Linked DNA regions of Rattus norvegicus. The protein of the gene in region 1 interacts with the protein of each later gene in a biochemical or structural test. Links are inferred from orthologs where the notes say so. Each region holds a gene or a part of one and is shown in the gene's direction. Other genes may lie near its edges.

The links. The genes of interacting proteins can lie anywhere in the genome.
Region 2: the proteins of Rnf7 (region 1) and Ube2c form a complex in vitro, tested with the Homo sapiens proteins (4 studies listed by BioGRID). The link is inferred for Rattus norvegicus from reciprocal best matches to the Homo sapiens genes RNF7 and UBE2C.
Region 3: the proteins of Rnf7 (region 1) and Ube2f form a complex in vitro, tested with the Homo sapiens proteins (10 studies listed by BioGRID, with this or other methods). The link is inferred for Rattus norvegicus from reciprocal best matches to the Homo sapiens genes RNF7 and UBE2F.

What each region holds. Positions count from the first base shown.
Region 1 is NC_086026.1:105,916,847-105,922,255, reverse strand, and holds the end of Rnf7 (RING-box protein 2), read left to right. Parts: intron 1-486; coding exon of another isoform or gene 487-524; exon of another isoform or gene 525-546; coding exon 547-594; exon of another isoform or gene 595-646; intron 647-2,871; coding exon 2,872-2,990; 3' UTR 2,991-3,861; downstream 3,862-5,409. UniProt on the Homo sapiens protein: Catalytic component of multiple cullin-5-RING E3 ubiquitin-protein ligase complexes (ECS complexes), which mediate the ubiquitination and subsequent proteasomal degradation of target proteins.
Region 2 is NC_086021.1:173,923,627-173,929,737, forward strand, and holds Ube2c (ubiquitin-conjugating enzyme E2 C), read left to right. Parts: upstream 1-2,348; 5' UTR 2,349-2,401; coding exon 2,402-2,502; intron 2,503-2,797; coding exon 2,798-2,825; intron 2,826-3,379; coding exon 3,380-3,466; intron 3,467-3,983; coding exon 3,984-4,248; intron 4,249-4,520; coding exon 4,521-4,579; 3' UTR 4,580-4,749; downstream 4,750-6,111. Other genes in the region: Dnttip1 (deoxynucleotidyltransferase terminal-interacting protein 1), read left to right, coding at 588-643, 746-884. UniProt on the Homo sapiens protein: Accepts ubiquitin from the E1 complex and catalyzes its covalent attachment to other proteins. In vitro catalyzes 'Lys-11'- and 'Lys-48'-linked polyubiquitination.
Region 3 is NC_086027.1:99,290,878-99,297,277, forward strand, and holds the start of Ube2f (NEDD8-conjugating enzyme UBE2F), read left to right. Parts: upstream 1-2,637; 5' UTR 2,638-2,755; intron 2,756-2,993; exon of another isoform or gene 2,994-3,165; intron 3,166-6,400. UniProt on the Homo sapiens protein: Accepts the ubiquitin-like protein NEDD8 from the UBA3-NAE1 E1 complex and catalyzes its covalent attachment to other proteins. Together with the E3 ubiquitin ligase RNF7/RBX2, specifically neddylates cullin-5 (CUL5).

The sequences.
Region 1 (5,409 bases):
GAGAGCTGGGGGCACGTGCCTGTGATTCCAAAACTTGGAGGTAGAAGGTAGAGGCAGGATTTTAAGGTGATGATTTGGTGTGGCAGTTCAGGTTAGTGGATAGCTGGGGCTACGTGAACTCCTAAAACAAAACCTTTATTAGTTCCCTAGTATCCTTCTAGATCCTTATGTGTATATAATCAAATAATCAATACATGGCTATGGGTTATTTACAATGGTGTCTTGAAGTAAATACCTCTAAAGTTGGTCCATGTGCACGAGCAACCTGGGGGTCTACAATAACTTTTTGGCATCTCTATCTAGAGTGACTTCCTGTAGTGTGGTCACCAAGCTGTCTTGTCATGCGAGCTTGTAAAATCACATTGGGGAGTTAGCAGAATGCCACATGTTGTATTTCTCTTTAATAGTTGTTTTTAGGAGAGAAATTAATAATATAAGACTTCTCTTCATCTCTGATCCTTGGGGCTTTTTTGTTTGACTTTGAAGGTCTGGGTTTCCAGTGTTGCCTCCTGAACTCCAGATGAGATTCGCTCTGTTTACTTTCAGATGCCTGTCTTAGATGTCAAGCTGAAAACAAACAAGAGGACTGTGTTGGTATGTGGTAATTCTTTCTCCTGCCTTTCCAATTAAAGGTTTTTCTTCTGTCTCTGTGGGAATGTTTGAATTTGCAATTAAAATTGACTTTATTAAACTGGCTGAGGTTACCCAGGCCTGTAAATCCAGAAGTAGAGCAGTTGAGGCCAGCTTTTGCTATGTAGTGAGACCTGTTTTCAAAAAAAAAACAAACAAACAAAAAAAAACCTGAAAGAGAGAGAAATGTCCTGGTCAGTACATAAAAATAAACCATAAAGCAGTGATTAATTATGACTATAAAATGCTTAGGGCAGTTAGGGACTGGTGAGATGGCTCAGTAGGTAAAGGAACTCGCATCTCAAACCTAATGAGCTAAACGTGATCTCTGGAACCCCTTTAAAGATAGAAAGAGGGCTGACTCCCCAAAGGTCTTTGACCTCCTCCACATGAAACTGAGGTGAGCACCCCCACCCCGTCATATACACACAATTATAGATAAAAATAGTTTTTAAAACAAGCAAAATTAGGACTAAAACTAAAAGGGAAAGAATTCTGACAGAAGACTTCATAGTAAAACATCTTTTTTTTTTTTGGTTCTTTTTTTCGGAGCTGGGGACCGAACCCAGGGCCTTGCGCTTCCTAGGTAAGCGCTCTACCACTGAGCTAAATCCCCAGCCCCGTAAAACATCTTTTTAATAAATAATAAAATGTTTTAGTTCTCAAAAGACCTTAATAAAATAAATTTGCAAATTCTTTTAAGACTTGGTTATATACTCTATTCATGGTCATGATAAATGTTTTGCTAAGCAGAAAGAAATAATATCTCCTATTAAGAAAACTGCTGGGCTGGGGATTTAGCTCAGTGGTAGAGCGCTTACCTAGGAAGCGCAAGGCCCTGGGTTCGGTCCCCAGCTCCAAAAAAAAAAAAAAAAAGAAAACTGCTGGGGTTGGGGATTTAGCTCAGTGGTAGAGCGCTTACCTAGGAAGCGCAAGGCCCTGGGTTCGGTCCCCAGCTCCGAAAAAAAGAACCAAAAAAAAAAAAAAAAAAAAGAAAAGAAAACTGCTAAGCCAAGACTGGTAAACACACCTGTACCCCCAGCAGAGGTAGGAGCCACTACAAGTTGGACACCGGCCTGGTCTATCAGCAAATTCCAGCCAGTCAGCTGTGCAGTGAGACCCTGTCTCAAAAACACAGTGAAAAGGAGGAAGTAGGAGGACAGAAGGGAGGGAAAGAAGAAACATTTCAAGACCTGAGCTTGGTGGCTTGCATCTGTAACCCAAGTACCCTGCAAGGCTCAGACTGGGCAATTACTGTGGCCTACGTAGTGAGTTCTAGGGAGCCTGGGCTATATATTATAGCAAGGCTGTGTCTCAGCAAAGAACTCTGCTCAGAGAGATGGCTCTCTTCAGCCACTCTGCCTATCTAATTGTCAGATGAAGTGCTGTACCACTTGCTGTCATGGTAAGTTTTGGTATAATTAACTTTGGGTTTTGGTCTCACTTGGAGCTTGTTATGTAGACAAGGTGGTCTTTTATGATTCTCTGGGATCCCACTGCCTTCCAAATTCTGGGACTGTAGGGTGTGACCACACCCAGCTGGATGGTTTAGCATAATTAACCCCTTTAGAAAAACAGCTGCCTCAGTGTACAGCTGCTGATGTTCCATGCCCACCATCTGTTTATAACAGCCAGCTATAGGTTGAGCCTGTAAAACATTTGTATTTTGGTAAATAAAAACCAGAAGGATGTTTTTCAATAAAGCAAACCACAGAAGATCTCCAAGGTTGCCCCATGACTGAGGAGGTCTGGGGATCCCACTGTCCTAACTTAAGACAACTAATGGAGCTACTTAGGAGCTAGGGTTGTGGCTTCACCCCAAAAACACAGTGGCACATTTCTTAAATGTAAATATTTTTGTAAATAGAAAAAAACATGTTTTGATCACTTGTTCAACATTTTTTAGGATTATGAGTCATGACTATTTTCTTGGTTTTTAAACTATAATTTTGAACTTAGCAATTTAAATTTTTAGAATATTTACAATTTTTGTTTTGATAATTTTATATAAGCATATAATGTATGTTGATTTTACCCACCCCCTGTTTGCCCCTAGCGCTCTCCTGACGTCCCCCTCTGTGTGTCCCTTCCTAACTTCCTGTACCCCTGAGCTTAGCTATTTAAGTTGACCTGTGTCCTATCAGCGGATTTGTTTGTCCATTTGTTTCATTGTCTGGTCTTGATACAGATCTTGTGATGTAGCAAGTGGCCTAGTGCAGCTGCTCTCTCTCTCTCCTGCAGTGGTCTGGGGAGAATGTAACCACTCCTTCCACAACTGCTGCATGTCCCTGTGGGTGAAGCAGAACAACCGCTGCCCTCTGTGCCAGCAGGACTGGGTGGTCCAAAGAATCGGCAAGTGAGAGCCGGCAGAGGCTCTCCTGGTGCGGTGGGTGACCCTGGACAACCTTGTCACCAAGTCACTGGACAGACTTGACACTCCAGGGATTCACCTTCAGATAGAGGGAATGGTGTGTGGCCTCTGGGACTCATCCAAGGCATGGTTTATCATTTTGTCTGTTTAATTTTGGGAAATTGTCTACAATTAAGATAATTTATTAAAATAGCCTTTCCTACCTCTGTGGTGTGTGTGATATGTACTGCTTTGAACACCAGCAATTGAAGGATCTTTGTTGTTTATCTGTCAGTACATAAGGGCTGGGAGAGCATTGCGTTCACAGAAGAACATTTTGTGTTTATGCTTGGTGGCTAAAAAAATAAATAAAAGAATGTTACACTAAAAAATAAAATGCATTGAGAAGCCAACTCCTACCCTTTGCTCCTAATACCCTTTGTTGTTGGGAGTGAGGCAACCCATGGTATCTTCTTTTCTATAAATGAGGGTTAACTTGTACTGAGTGAAGAGGGTAAATACAGTGTAACTGTTAAGAAACCAGAAGTCGGGCTGGGGATTTAGCTCAGTGGTAGAGCGCTTACCTAGGAAGCGCAAGGCCCTGGGTTCGGTCCCCAGCTCCGAAAAAAAGAACCAAAAAAAAAAAAAAAAAAGAAACCAGAAGTCAAGGAAACTACTGTTTCACTGTTCAACCGCTTAGGGTTAAAGAAGTATTTTCTGTTTCTGGGAAGGTTGTATTGTATGTTTTAGTCAAAATATTAGTGGGAAAATGCTTAGCAGTATGGCACCGGAGTTCATTATGCAATGCTTTAATAAATGAAATATTGTGCTTTGAGTTATTAAAGTTTGATCTCTACTCTTAAATTCATTAAAATAATTCAGTAAATACTTTATACTCTTTATTTGGTAGTAAAAATTACTTGGAAACACACAAACAAACATTTTATCAAACTGTTCCAGTAGGAAAATATGTCTCAGTGTGTGAAATGCTGTGTGAGTCAGAGGAACAGACTTCCGGTCCCAAGGACTCATGGAAAAACCTTAAGGACAGGGAAGATGGCCTAGTCATTTAAAAGCACTTGCTTCTCTTGCAGAGGACCCAGATTGATTTCTAGCACCCTTGTTGACCCTTAGCTATGTAACTCCAGTTCCAAGGAATCCATTATCCTCTTCTTGGCTTCTGTGAGTATTACATGTACACAGTGCCCATGTAAACATGGAGGTACACACACATACATACAGACAAACACTCTTAGATGCTCTAAAAATGATTTTCTAAATGTGTTTAGAATCACAATGAATTCAGAATTATGGAGAGTTTGAGACCGGGTTGCACTGTAGCCCTCGCTGGACTGAAAGTGAACGGAGCTGGCCCGGGCTCTGCCTCCCAAGCACGACTGTTGCAGGCGTTCACACCACAAGCCTCATAAGCTACGATCTTACTTGTTAGTCTGGTTTCTCTGAAACTCGCTTCTGTCAGACCCACTAAAAATATGGGTAAATAGTTTCTAAATTTTCTAGGTACTAAAAGTATGTTTGAATGAGTCTATAGACTTTTTTATATATAAAGGTAGTCAGAGAGTAAACAGGTGCTTGGCTTTGCTGTGAAGGTGGAAGTCTCCCGTCATGTACATCAGGTGGCTTTGACAGTTCATAAGTGGATTCTGGATAGCAGTAATGAGCCAGTGCTCCACCCAGCGAAATGCTAACAAAGCCCTACTATGCTACACACGAGAGGAGGATGAAGGGGTGAGACAAAAGCTTCTGACCCCATTCCCTATTGGCACAACCCCCCTCATCTGCACAGCCATCCCAGAGTTCCGAAAAAACATGCAGAGGCAGTTTAGTTGTAGGTTCCAAAACCACTGAGCAGGTTTTCACTTTGAAACGCAGTGTAAGGTTTGCTGACTGTAGTTCATTCCAGATGTAGTCAAGTTGACCCAGAACAGCCATCACACTGGCAAACGGGTAGACCAGCTGGTCCTTGACTACCAATCCTTTGTTCAAGGCCAGTCAGTGCAGCAACAGAATCAGCTCCTTACAGAGTCAAACTGCCCTACCATCCAGGCTGCCTACAGGAAAATGAGCATGAGGGGTGTTGACAGTAAGATCTTAAGGAACTTAGTTTAACATTAATAGTTTGCTGTTTACCAAATTCTAACATGGCTTAGTTCCTGCTGGTTGCAGTAGGGAGAATGTGCTCTCTTTCTCTGTCCATAGAGCTGTCTACAGCTATGCAAATTTATTGAGGCAAACCGTGTGTGTGTGTGTGTGTGTGTGTGTGTGTGTGTGTGTGTGTGTGTGTGTGTGTAGCCATGTTTGTCTCTGGATGGATATGTACACCTGAGTGCAGGTGTCCGCAGAGGCCACAAGAGGGTGTCAGATGCCAAGGGTGTGGGTGCTGGGATCCAAACTCAGGTCCCCTGGGA
Region 2 (6,111 bases), on another chromosome or scaffold:
AGTGTACATTGTGCCTATCTGTGTGACACTTGCCTACAATCCTAGCACTTTAGAAGCTAAAGCAGTTGAATGGCAATGAGTTCAAGGCCAGCCTAGGCTGCAGGAGTTACAAGCCAAACCCAGCTACAAAAACAGAAACAAATAGTGTGTGAGTTCAGGGCCCCAGGAAAACTCAGTGCTACAACCACTGCACAGCGGCATTGTTGACCAAACCCTTACATCGTTGTCCGAGTCCCCAGGGTAAATATCGCTTCCTACTCTCATCTCTGTATTCTGCTAGCTCTTACCATCTGCTGTAAATCACGTCAGTTATTGTAGTAGTTGTTTAGTGGGAAGGCCATAGATAAATTTTTTGAGTCAGGAAGTTCGGGTACAGCCTGGGCAATTCTTTTCCTTTGTCACTGGAATCTACTCCTCCACCTGTAAAGTTTCTAAGTGAAAGATGCTGTCAAGGAACCATTCCCAGTGTCTTCCTGCGTCCTCCTCCCTAGCGACCTGTAAGCTGCAGCCTGCATCTTCTACCTAATAGAGTTTCTGATTTGCTGTGAAATGAATCAGAGTCCTGAATCCCTCTCCCTTGCCCTCAGGCGTACCTTCTCATTGAGGAAGACATCCGAGACTTGGCTGCCAGCGATGACTACAGGTATACAGAAGGGGGCCCCTTCCCCCAATCTCCTTCTGCCTCGGTAGGCACACAGAGGAGGCTGGCACCCTCCCTTTAATCTCCACCCAATGTCTCCTACAGAGGATGCTTGGACCTGAAGTTGGAGGAGCTGAAGTCCTTTGTTCTGCCATCCTGGATGGTTGAGAAGATGCGGAAATACATGGAGACACTACGGACAGAAAATGAGCATCGTGCTGCTGAAGCAACTCCCCAGACCTGAGCCGAGTGTCCTGGCTACTACACTTGGCAGTCTGCCTCCCAGACCCTCTTTCCCGGCCCGGCTGAGGCCATCATGGGGATGCGGTCTAGTTGGCTCTTAGCAGCATCAAGCTGTACATGAGCTAGTTTGTAGTGACTCACTGCAGAGCCCCCCAGACTGGCTTGTGGTTCTGTTTCTAAAGTTATTGGAATAAGAAGCAATTAAACAAGTTTGTAATAAACACAGGTGGTGAGCCTGCTGTAATGAGTGCCTTGTGGGACCTGACAGAGCAAGGGCCAAATAAGTCTGCACACCAGAAACGGACCACCTACATGCCTGCCCACCTCATCTGTGCTCTCCCACAGTCTCCGTCCTTGTTCCAGCTTAGGAATGTTGCACAGTGTGAAGGCTAGCCCAAAGGGAAGGATGGCCTACCAAAGGAAAAATGCAGTTGCCTTTTATTTTCCCAATGTTATAGGCTATAGGCTAACACACTCACTGACTGCTGAGGCTGTAAGCAAACTTAGTAGAGTATGGGTTTTTTGGTTGTTGTTTTTTGGGGGGGTTCTTTGTTTTTGTTTTGTTTTTGCCTTTTGGGATTGAGACAGGATCTCTGACATGTAGCCATGGCTAACCTAAAACTCAAAGATTCCGCCTTGGTTGGGATTAAAGGCGTTGAGCACCATCAGACCTTGTTTTTGTCTCCTTAAGGCGCAGTCTCATATAGCCCAGGCTAACCTAGAGATAACCCTCAACTCTTGACCTGCCTGTCCTCACCTTCCATGGGATTACAGGCATGCGCCACCTGAACCCACGTTTACTAATAGATGGGGAGTCTGCTCTGACAACCGGCGCCTTTCTAAGTTTTTTTTTTTTTTTTAAGTTCTTGGGAACCCAAAAAAGTAACTAACATTTTTATTAGGATGAGGAGAAAAGGCTTCCGGCTTGGAGAATAACACTGTCAAGTTCTCCCTTTTCCGGAAGATGTGCTCCCTGCTGGGCGTGTGTGTGCTTGGACCGACCAGCGGATCTGGACGGAGGTCCAACCATTGCCGGGCGTGTGGAGCACTCGCTCGTGAAATCTCAACCCTTGGAAGTGAAAGCAAGGAGGATCAAGAAGTCAAATTCATACCTGGCTGCATAGCCAAATTACAGACTGACGGCAGAAGTCAGGGTTCCAAGAGACCCGGCGGGGGAGGGGCGGCGTACACACGTGGACCCTTCCTTTGACCCTTTAATGGTCGGCGTCGTCCAAAGGCCACCAATCTGCCACCTATTCGTTAGTTAATGGCAGCCTTCTTCACCAATCGGCTATCCGAAGTACGCCCCGCCGTCCAATCGCAGTGCATTACTGGGTGGCCTAGCAGTTGCGCAGAGGCAGAGCAATCCTGGGCGTCCCATTGGCTGGATCAAACCCAAGCGAGCCTCTGATTGGCTAGCGCAGCAGGAGGGTTACAATTCAAACGCGGGCGGCGGCCCGCAGCCCCGCAGTTGCTCTTTCCTCTCCACACGCTTGTCTCCGTGCCAGCACCTCTGGGATGGCCTCGCAGAACCGCGACCCAGCTGCAGCCAGCGTTGCCGCCGTTCGAAAAGGAGCAGAACCCTGCGGGGGCGCCGCCCGGGGCCCTGTGGGCAAGAGGTGAGTGGTGCGGAGGTCACCCCGGGGGCCTTGGGACACAAGAGGGGCACCAGGAACGCAGGAAATGGAAGGCTGACGGCGCTGCCAGGCAACTCTCATAGGTGGTTCGGCGAGCGCTGGGGTTAACATGCGGCCAGAAGGCTCATCTGGGTCCTCCTGTAGATGATAAGCGCCCGAGCTAAACCTGCCTTTGAAGAAGGGGCAAGGCCTCCATGACAACTCTTCAGGATAGTTTGGTGGGAAGTGATGTATCACCTCCACAGTGCCCCCGAGTAACCTTGACTTCTCTTTGCAGGCTACAGCAGGAGCTGATGACCCTCATGGTGAGTGACTGCGTGTTCTAAGATCAATTGGCCTATCTTTCCATCCCCCACCCAATTATCAGTAGCCTCCTTTACTACTGTGGCTACCTGCTCATACATACTATGGGTGTAATTCACTCTCTCTCTTACGGGAAGCCCTTTGAATGCCAGCCCTCACTTGAGCACCGCAGCTGTGTATGGAGTCATAACCTTATCTGGGTTCATCCCTACTTACTTTTCTGGCCCCAGCTCTAACCTTGCCCATCCCCACCCTTCTTGGAATTGGTATCCCTTAGAGAATTCTCTCCTCTGGTTGTCCATTGCTACATTACCCCTAAGTAGCAATCTACATGTTTTAGTGACATTTAAATCCCAGGTGAAAAACAGAAGAGGCAAAATTTGGAAGCACTGAAGGTGCTTCCCTGCTGCCCTAGCGTGGTGATCAGCCCGTGGCTTGGCTGCTTTATTTAGAGGCATAGCATGATTCGGGCGGGGCAGTCGCTCACCCACTGATCCCTTTTGCTGTGCCTATAAGTGTATGCTCAAATGCATCATTTGGGTGTTTCCTTCCTCAGATGTCTGGTGACAAAGGAATTTCCGCCTTCCCCGAATCAGACAACCTGTTCAAATGGGTAGGAACCATCCATGGAGCCGCCGGCACTGTAAGTGGGCAGCACTTTGCTAAGTGTGGTGAACTTAGCTGAGGAAGTGAACTCCAAGTGCTAGGTCGGCTTCAGTGCCCTGAGCCTGTTCACAGGCTCTGAGCCCTGTGGTTGTGTTCTTCAGTGTGAGGGAAAGGCACTCTCAAGGCAGTGAGTGATAGAGTAGGCGGGGCATCTTGGCTTGTGGGAGGGCACTAACAGCTTCCAGTTACTGCAGATCTGGTTTTAAGTCAGAAATTGGATCTAAATTTTCCCTTTAGTAATTGAGATATTAGTCGGACCACTCTGGTAGCCCTCGCTCAGGATGCCAGGTCAATCTTTTGACCAGAAGGTCACTGATGTCATAGGCCAACTTAGCATACAGTTTGCTAGTCAGACGCAGACGCACTCCTAAGTTCCTACCTGCATGGCCCTTATTTGGGGCTTGGATAGAATGTGGCCTGCTGGGGTGGGATGGGGGAAGTGAGGGCACAAGGTGAACACAGGCTTACCCTGCCCTTCTTTCCCCGAATGCCAGGTATATGAAGACCTGAGGTATAAACTCTCCCTAGAGTTCCCCAGTGGCTACCCTTACAACGCACCCACAGTGAAGTTCCTCACACCGTGCTACCACCCCAACGTGGACACCCAGGGCAACATCTGCCTGGACATCCTCAAGGACAAGTGGTCTGCACTGTATGATGTCAGGACCATCTTGCTCTCCATCCAGAGCCTGCTAGGAGAACCCAACATCGAGAGCCCTTTGAACACACATGCTGCAGAGCTCTGGAAAAACCCCACAGGTAGGGCCTTGTCCAGCTCAGAGTGACCCTTGCTAACGTACAAAGGGACCCTGGGGACTCGGTTGGTTTCTCCCTCATCCCCCTCACTGCTTCTCCATACTCACAAAGATGAAGGGGTCGGGGGGGTAGAATATATCTCCTGTTCCTTTCTGGACTCTGGAAACCAGTGTCCCAGGGAGCCAACCAGATGGCAACACTGGGGTATCTGCTGGACAGGGAGAATAGGCCTCCCCCATCCATCACTCACCCGAGCCCCCTATGTTCTCTTCCAGCATTTAAGAAGTACCTGCAAGAAACATATTCAAAGCAGGTCTCCAACCAAGAGCCCTGACGCCAGCTCTCCAGCTTTCTCTTGTGTCGTCTCTTTTCTTAGATGTCTGTCCTTTCTCCGTGGTTTCTGAGCTGTGCTGTTTTGTTTTATTTGTTTTTTTAAATTAAGTCTGCTTGAACCCATACAATGTATATTAAATAAATGCACGTTGATTGTTTTTGTATAAATTGCTGTCTCAAAGTTAACCTCAGCCAGAGGATGGGGGAGGGGCACTAGCTTAAAATCTGGGTTCTGACCTGACGTGTACAGGGTTGGAAGCAGCTGATAAGACAGTGTGGTCACTGAGAAGTGACTTTGTGTCTTACCTTATCGCTCTGCATATATTTCTTCTCAAGTGGGTGTCACATTGTGTATTTGCCTGGAGGTATAGCTTCCCGGGCAGAGAGCCTGTTTAATCCGAGGGAGGTGCCCAGCACCAAAGCTCACACTTCTGTGGGGTCACAGCATAAACTACAAATACTCCATCAGAACAGTTCCGGTTGGGATGCAGAGGAGGCTAAACCAGACCTTCAGCTCAAGAGTCTGTAGTGTGGGAGTGCTAGACACCCACTTTCTAAGATGTTAAAGATCTGGAGGATGGGAGACCCCACTCAAGTTGCCCTGTAGCAGGCTCAAGCTCAGAAGATAAGAAAGATTGAGCTCTAGACCCAGGTGGGTGATTCCTGCTCCATCTCCACAGGGTGTTATGGGTCCTACCCAAGTGTCAAGCAGCTGGCTGTACAGCCCTGTGGGAAGAGGGAGGGGAGGGGAGGCAGAGGGCCTGGCCTGTCAGGAAGGTTCTGGGCCCCTGTTAACTACTGTTAGCCCCTGCTCTTCCCTAGGCTTTTAGTGGGAAAAAGTCCGCTCTGAAGTGAGTTGTGTTCTTAGTTTCCTCCTCAGCATAGAGCTTTTATTAAATACTTTACTCATTTTTAATTTATATACATTGGTGTTTTGACTACATGTATATTTAAGGGTATTGGGTCCCCTGAAACAAGAGTTACAGACAGTGGGTGCCATGTGGATGCTGGGAATTGAACTCGGGACCTCTGGAAGAACAGCCAGTGTCTTAACCACTGAGCCATCTCTGCAGCCCCAGGGCATAGAACTTTATAATCCATCTTAATGTGGACAAACCCACTTGGGATCTTGTTAAAATTCAACTGTGGGAGGAAGGGAGGCGGAAGAGCCGCACTTCTGGTGAGCCCCAGGTTACTTTTGCTGTGGTCTAGTTAACATACAAGTTGTTCATCAAAGACTGTGACTTCGTCGGAAGAGTTTTTGCCTGTCATCCATGAGACCCTGCATTCAGTCCCCAGAACATTATCCTAGTGTATGCCTGTCATCCCAAAACTCCAGGAGGTACAGGCAGAGAGTTCAAGATCATCTTTGAGGTCATAGTTTAAGGCCTGCCTGAGCTATACCCTATCTAAGGGAGGGAAAGTGAGCCAGATGCTGGTAGTGACTCCTGTAATCCCAACCCTTGGAAGTAGAAGCAGGAAGATGGCTAAGAGTTCAAGGCCGGCCTGGTCTACGTAGAATCCTTAGCATTA
Region 3 (6,400 bases), on another chromosome or scaffold:
AGGTGGCATGGTTGTTGTTGTTGTAATGATGCTGCTGGGTTTGTTGATGTTGTTTGGGCTTTGTTTTTTTGTTTTGAGACAGGGTTTCTCTGTGTACCCCCTTGATGTCCCAGAGCTTACTCTGTACAGACCAAACTGCCCTCAAACCCACAGAGATCCATTCAGTCTGTCTCTCAGAGTCTTTTGTCCCTTTCCTTGCTGTTGGCATTAGTAGCCTGTCTCTGGGACTGAACCCCAGAGACAGATGGGTTGGATTCACATTCAAGTTCAGCCATGCTGGACAAAAAAACAAAACAAAACAAAACACTACTTATTTTCTGTGTTCAGGTCCCTTACCTGAAAGCTGGAGGTAACAGAAAAGTGTTGCCCAGAGCTGTTGTGAGGATGATATAAGGTAACAATGCAGTAGGCTCTTGGTAAGTCTTAGGTGAGCACAAGAGGCTCCCTCATGAAATGGACCTAGAAGTGACTCACCTCTTTGCAATGTCGAGATTCAGGCACTATTGGTGAGACACTGGTTCCAGCTGTGTCTGCCTTTGTAGTCTGGCTTCAAGCTCTTATCTTTTTTCACCAGGACTTTGCACACTCTTGCAGAACTTGCCAACAAAATGGGTTCTGAACACCTGGTGTGGGTCCAAAGAAGAGCGAGCGGGGAGAGCTAACAGGAGAGGAGCTGTAAGATAGTGCTGTTTAAGCTTAGGAAAATAAGACAAGGGCTGAAGAGATGGTTCAGTGGTTAAGAACATGCACGGTTCTTACAGAGGACCTGAGTTCAACTCCCAGCACCCCCATGCAACTGCTTGTAACTCAAGCATCCAAGGAATTTCCCCTAACTTTGGACACATATACAGGCATACACACGTGTACAGGTAAATAAATAAAATGTTTAAAAAAAAATAAAAGGAAAATGAGACAAGAGTTAGCTGAACAAAGAACAGGTGTTTTCCTGAGAGGATAAGGTGGCTTGTCATAAAGAGTTCACTTGAGTACTGTAAAAGCTATTCCTGGTTGTCAACTTGACTATATCTGCTCTAAACTACAATCCAGAATCAGAGGGCTCACCTGTGATCTCGATCTTGAGGCTGGAAGATCTTGAGTTTCTGACTTGGATCACAATAAATTGCCTCAATATAGAGACATTCCATACGTTCTGTGACTCGAGAGAACCCTAATACAAGTACCATCTCTTCTTTGCTCATGGCCTCCCTTAGATCAAAAGCCTTGTTTGTTTGTTTGTTTATTGAGACAGGGTCTCACTATGTAGCTCAGATTATCCCGGAATTCACTATGTAGACCAGGCTGGCAAGTGCTAAGATTAAAGCTGAGTGCCACCATGCCCAGCTGCCTTTTACCCTTCATATCTGTGCACAAGTGTGTATCTGATGTATGTATCTGATGTACGCACACGTGAGCCCGAGTAACGTGTGTAGCTATGTATGTGCTACATCGGGTGATCTAAGGATAACTTTCCTTCACTTTTTTGTGTTTAAGACAGATTTTCATTAAGTCACCCTGGCTGGTTTGGAATTCTATGTAATCTAGGCTGTTCATCGCAGGATCTCTTTCCCTCTACAGGGTACTTGGTCCTAATCCTCTGAGGATTCCTCTGCCTAGGCTTCACATCTTCCCACCTGAGTTTGGAAACAGGTCCTCATGCCGACAAATGCTTTACTCACAGAGCCCAATTGCCTTCTTTCGAAAGAAATTTTAGGATCTAGGGGCCATGTAGCTCAAGGGTAGTGTTTTGCAGGTGAGACTTCTGGAGTTCGTTCCCCAGAACCACAAAGAAAATAAATGAAATCTTAACATTCCTTGGTCTTTTCCACAGCAAATATTCTCTTTTCAAGGCCCTACCTCTCTAGGAGTCTTGCCTATTTCTCTCAGAGTAGAAGATCTCCAGTCCCACAGGGACAGAGAATTCATACCCCATGAGCTGCAAGAAGAACGCTGCAAATGGAACTACAGGGCCTTACATATGCAAAGCAAGTTCCCCCACCACTGCTATACATCTAGGGGCCTGAAGCGTATTTTTGAGGCAGGCTCTTTCTACGTATCTCTGGCTGTCCTGGAATTTAATATGTAGACCAGGCCTTCCTCTGTCTCTCGGGCGCTGGGATCGAAGGTATGCCCCCCAAACTCCAGGCCTAAAGCAGATTTTTAAAGTGCACATAGGAATACTAGGAACAGGAGAAATTAAAAAATAAGAAGCAGGAAGAGTGCCCTCACATCCATCAGCCACCTGATGCAATCTGCACCTCTAACAATCCCGTAGCCCTAATGCAGCTGCAGACAGGTCGGATCGTTTGCATTCAGGACTGGTGCTGGGCATAGGGCTATAGCTCCACCAGCAGGCACTGTATTAGTGTGGTACACGGAAGGATCAAGCGGCTAAATGAATGGAAACAAGCCGGAAGGCCGTGTGCCGGGGTCCTGGACGCAGGTGCCTCCATGACCAATCAGTAAAGGTTTTGCCACATGGCCTGTCCTCAGGTCGTGCTCTCCACCAATGAGCGACGGTCACCTAGTTGGCCGGTGTACGCGACTGTCCGCGCGTGGAGCTGCCAATAAAGTTCTTTATAGCTTTGAATTTTTTTTTTAAAGTGACCGCTGCGGTCACGGCGCAGTCCCCGCCCCGCCACTTCCGGTCCCGCCGCCGGGAGCCGGTGCGGCTGTGAAGGCCAGCGCGACTCGGTGCCGCTGCTGGCCGGGCATGATTTTGGGTGCCGGCTTGCCTCGCCTGACTCGCGGTGCTCAGGTGAGCTGGTCGCGCGGGCTGGGCTGAGGCCGCGGCTCCTCTCGCCGGGCGCCACGCGGGACCGCGAGATCGGCGGCTGACGGGAAGCGCTGGGCGGGCAGCGAGCCCCCGCGGCTCTGAGGGCCGGGCCGAGGCGGACCCCGTGCCGCCGCCCGCAAGGTCACGGTCCGGAGCTCGGGCCGTCCGGGAGGCCGAGGCCGCGGCGGGGAGGCCGCTGTCCCTGAAGGGAGGCGGGAGGTGGACACAGCCCGCCACGGCGAGGGCGGGGAGGAGGGGCGGCCGGCCCGCCTGGCCCGGTTCGGTCCCTGACCCGGTTCCGCGGCGTGTCACCTGGGGTGTGGCCTTCTCTCCAGCGGGCTCAGTTTCCTCCGTCTCCGGTGGGCATTGGACCCCACTCCTCGGGGCTGCCGGTGGGTTGGAGTTGCTGAAGGCGGCTTCCTGGAGGGGAGACTGGCCTGTGGGTAGAAATCTGCTCTCCTTAAGAACCTGGTAGGGCTTGGCGGTGAAGGGAAAGAGGGCATCCCAAGACCTGGTTATCAGATTGAACAGAAGGTTCCAGAAATGAGCAGGGTGGTGTTGAAAAACAGTGAGGTGGCTGGTGGGCCTGGTGCCGAGGCTTCCTAGCTGTTTGGGCCGAATGTTGGGAGCTCGGCAGTACGAGAGAGACTCATAGGTGGGAATTAAGAGGGATAGTGATGGAGGGAACTTCAGGAACAGAATTAACCTGGACAGAATTAACTTGGCATTCAGTACCCAAAATCAAAGATGAGTCCGGAGGCGGTCAGTCAATAAACCGGGTTAGAGGCCCTTGGGCACTCATGCTGTACGATACTGGGGTGCGGAAGTTTTTAAAGTCTCAGTCTGAGCGCTTGCCTAGCAAGCGTAAGGCCCTGGGTTCAGTCCCCAGCTCCGAAAAAAAGAAAAAAAAAAGTTTAAAGTTTCAGTCTGTTTCTTTAGACTTGAGAGGTTAGGCATCCTTAGTAGCCCCGTAGTCCTCTCTTAAATGGCTTCGATTGGAACTGTCAGTGAGGAGTTAGCCTCACCTTGAGCTGCCTGGCCCTGCCCAGGGGACATCAGCTTGATTTCAGCACAGCACATAGGAATGCTGAATAAACATGATTTGGTGAGACTGGTAAATAACACACTACAGTCCTCTTTGGATGGCCCAAAGGCTGGTCCCACCCAGAGGAGGAACTAAGTGGGCCAATTACAACTTGTGGAATTTGAAACTCAGCATGCTGTTCAGAATAGCTGATCTGTTCCCAAGATACTGCCTTAGTCACAGTGTGATTTTTTTTTCCCCCAAGAAAAGGGAAGTTTTGGTCAAAGTGGGGTTTTCTAGAGGTGGGACATGTTGAGGAGGGAAAGAGAATTCAGAGGTAACTTCTACCCTTTTGATAGTTCGAGTAACTGTTTTTGTTTGATCCCCTTGTGTAGATTTAATTTTCTGATTGTGGGACATTTCCAAATTGAGACTTTGGTTTATTCCCTCACATGCTAGTGAAAGTGATGCAGATGATAGATAAAATAGCGGATACTCTAATCTTACTTGCCTTAGAGTATCAGAAAGTACGTGTTGGGTTTTCTGTGGAGACACCACCAGTGTTGTTTTCTACCTTGCACAGTCTTCACACAACATGTCCTACTGGAAAAGCCTACAGCTCACTGAAGATTACAAGTTAGAATCCACACCACACAGAGTAGAGCATGGTATGCCCATCCTCTGCCTCTGAGGGTGTGAGAGCAGTAGGCAGAGCCCTTGGACTGCAGTGGCAGGTCTAAGCAGCCAAGTGCAGGTTTGCAGGGTGTGGAGCAGCTTCTGTTCTTCATTTTCCAAGAAGCTGTTGTGACCACTAGGGACTGCCTGCTCAACCCTTAACCAGTGCTTTCCCGTTTCACTTTCCACCACTTGCCTTAGTGATACCAAAGGTGAAAACCTAATGGTCCTCGTGTGGAACATCCTCACTGGTCCCAGCAGTGTATAGGGTTGTTGTCTTGGACATTGTCAGACACCCCTGATGGCCCAAGGTCTGAGCATGGAGTGGTGGACTTAGACTTGGCCAAGGTGGGAAGCACTAACTCATGATCCTGCTTGAGGAATTTCTGACAAGATCATTCCAGGCGGCAACAAGGCAGGAAAACATTGTTACGGTTCTGCTGTTTTGGGAGCTTGTGGGCTGGAGTCCCTCTGGGGAAGTGACTTAGCGAAGACTGGAGGATGTCTGTGTTCTGACAAGGCTCATCTTTTCACATAGATGCCCCTAAGGAGAAGCTATTACAGAGTAGGACTGAACTGGCCCATCACTTCATGACTGATCAATGTTTGTATAAACTACACCATACCCACACTTACAACACATCTAAATGAAAACTAGTTTTTTTTGTGGTGAGTGCTTCTTATAGCTTAGTGTCTTGGACACTCATCCTCCAGGCCTGTTTCAGGAGGTGTGTGTGTGCATGTCTGCCAGTGTGCATTAGTGTTAGGAGTCTTTCCCAGATTTCAGAGCTATGAGCTTAAGCATACTGATGTGCAATACAAGAATTGTTTGGTACATTTAGACAAATGATACTTTCTGATTTTATTTTGGTATTTTTACCTTCCTTTTCTGATACATCTACTGTAGCCCTGACTAACCTCCAACTGACAGTCCTCCCTCAGCCCCCCAAATACTGATGTTACAGGTGTGTGCCGCTGTGGCCAGTGTAACCAGTCCTTATTGTGGCAGGGTCATGGGAGGATCATAGTCACTGTCTTGTTTTTGTGACACGTGATACAAAGTGAAATCTGCCCTTTACTAGGGATACACAGAACGTGGCGTGAGAAATTAGGCAAAAGAGTTGCATTTGAGGGTTTTTAAATTCTGAAGAGAGGAATATTCTTGTGTTCGAGGTCTGAGCCTTAAGTTTGACCTCTCAGGTAAAACTTTTCCTCTGTAAGTTTTAGATTTTGTTTGACTGAGAAATTATCAGGCCTATATTGAAAGGAGATGCTTTTAAAACAAGAAAGGAAACTATGCAAATATTGTACTACTTACCCTTGCTGGAGTGTTGGTATGAGGGGTGTCTGACCGATGGAAGTGTATAATAGACACAGAAGGCAGCTTGTGGAGGTAGGGATCGCTGACACCCTAATGTAAATTGTACTCGGAGTGCAAATATCTTCACTCCACTGGTCCATCGGTTAGAACAAATAAAGCCTTGCAGGGAATGCTGATAGTGAGAGCGGAGAGCAGGCACACGAAGTGCTACACCTTCTGCCCGGCAGTTGTTGCTCTGATGCGGCTGTTGAACGAACAGTCGAACAGTCGAAGGCTTACCGGGTGAGTGGCAGCCCTTTTTGTGGTAGGCAGTCAGGAGCATTCCCTCACCTGCCTTTGGAATTTGCTGTCCTTCCCAGGGAGGTTATGGCTTGAGAGTCTGAAGCAGCCAGGGAAGAGTCCAGTTTGGGGTATTGATGTTGACATTGCAAATCAGTAAATGCAGCAGTCCTTTGAAGGCTGTGTACCTTTCCTTAGAGGGTGAAGGAAAGCAAAGCATCGATGTCCCCTTCTGCCCTAGAGACTTGTGCCCTCAGGCCACACCTGATCCTTTTGCTTCGGGGACACTCCCTTCCTTCCATTTGCAACCTTTGGTGAATGAGTACAA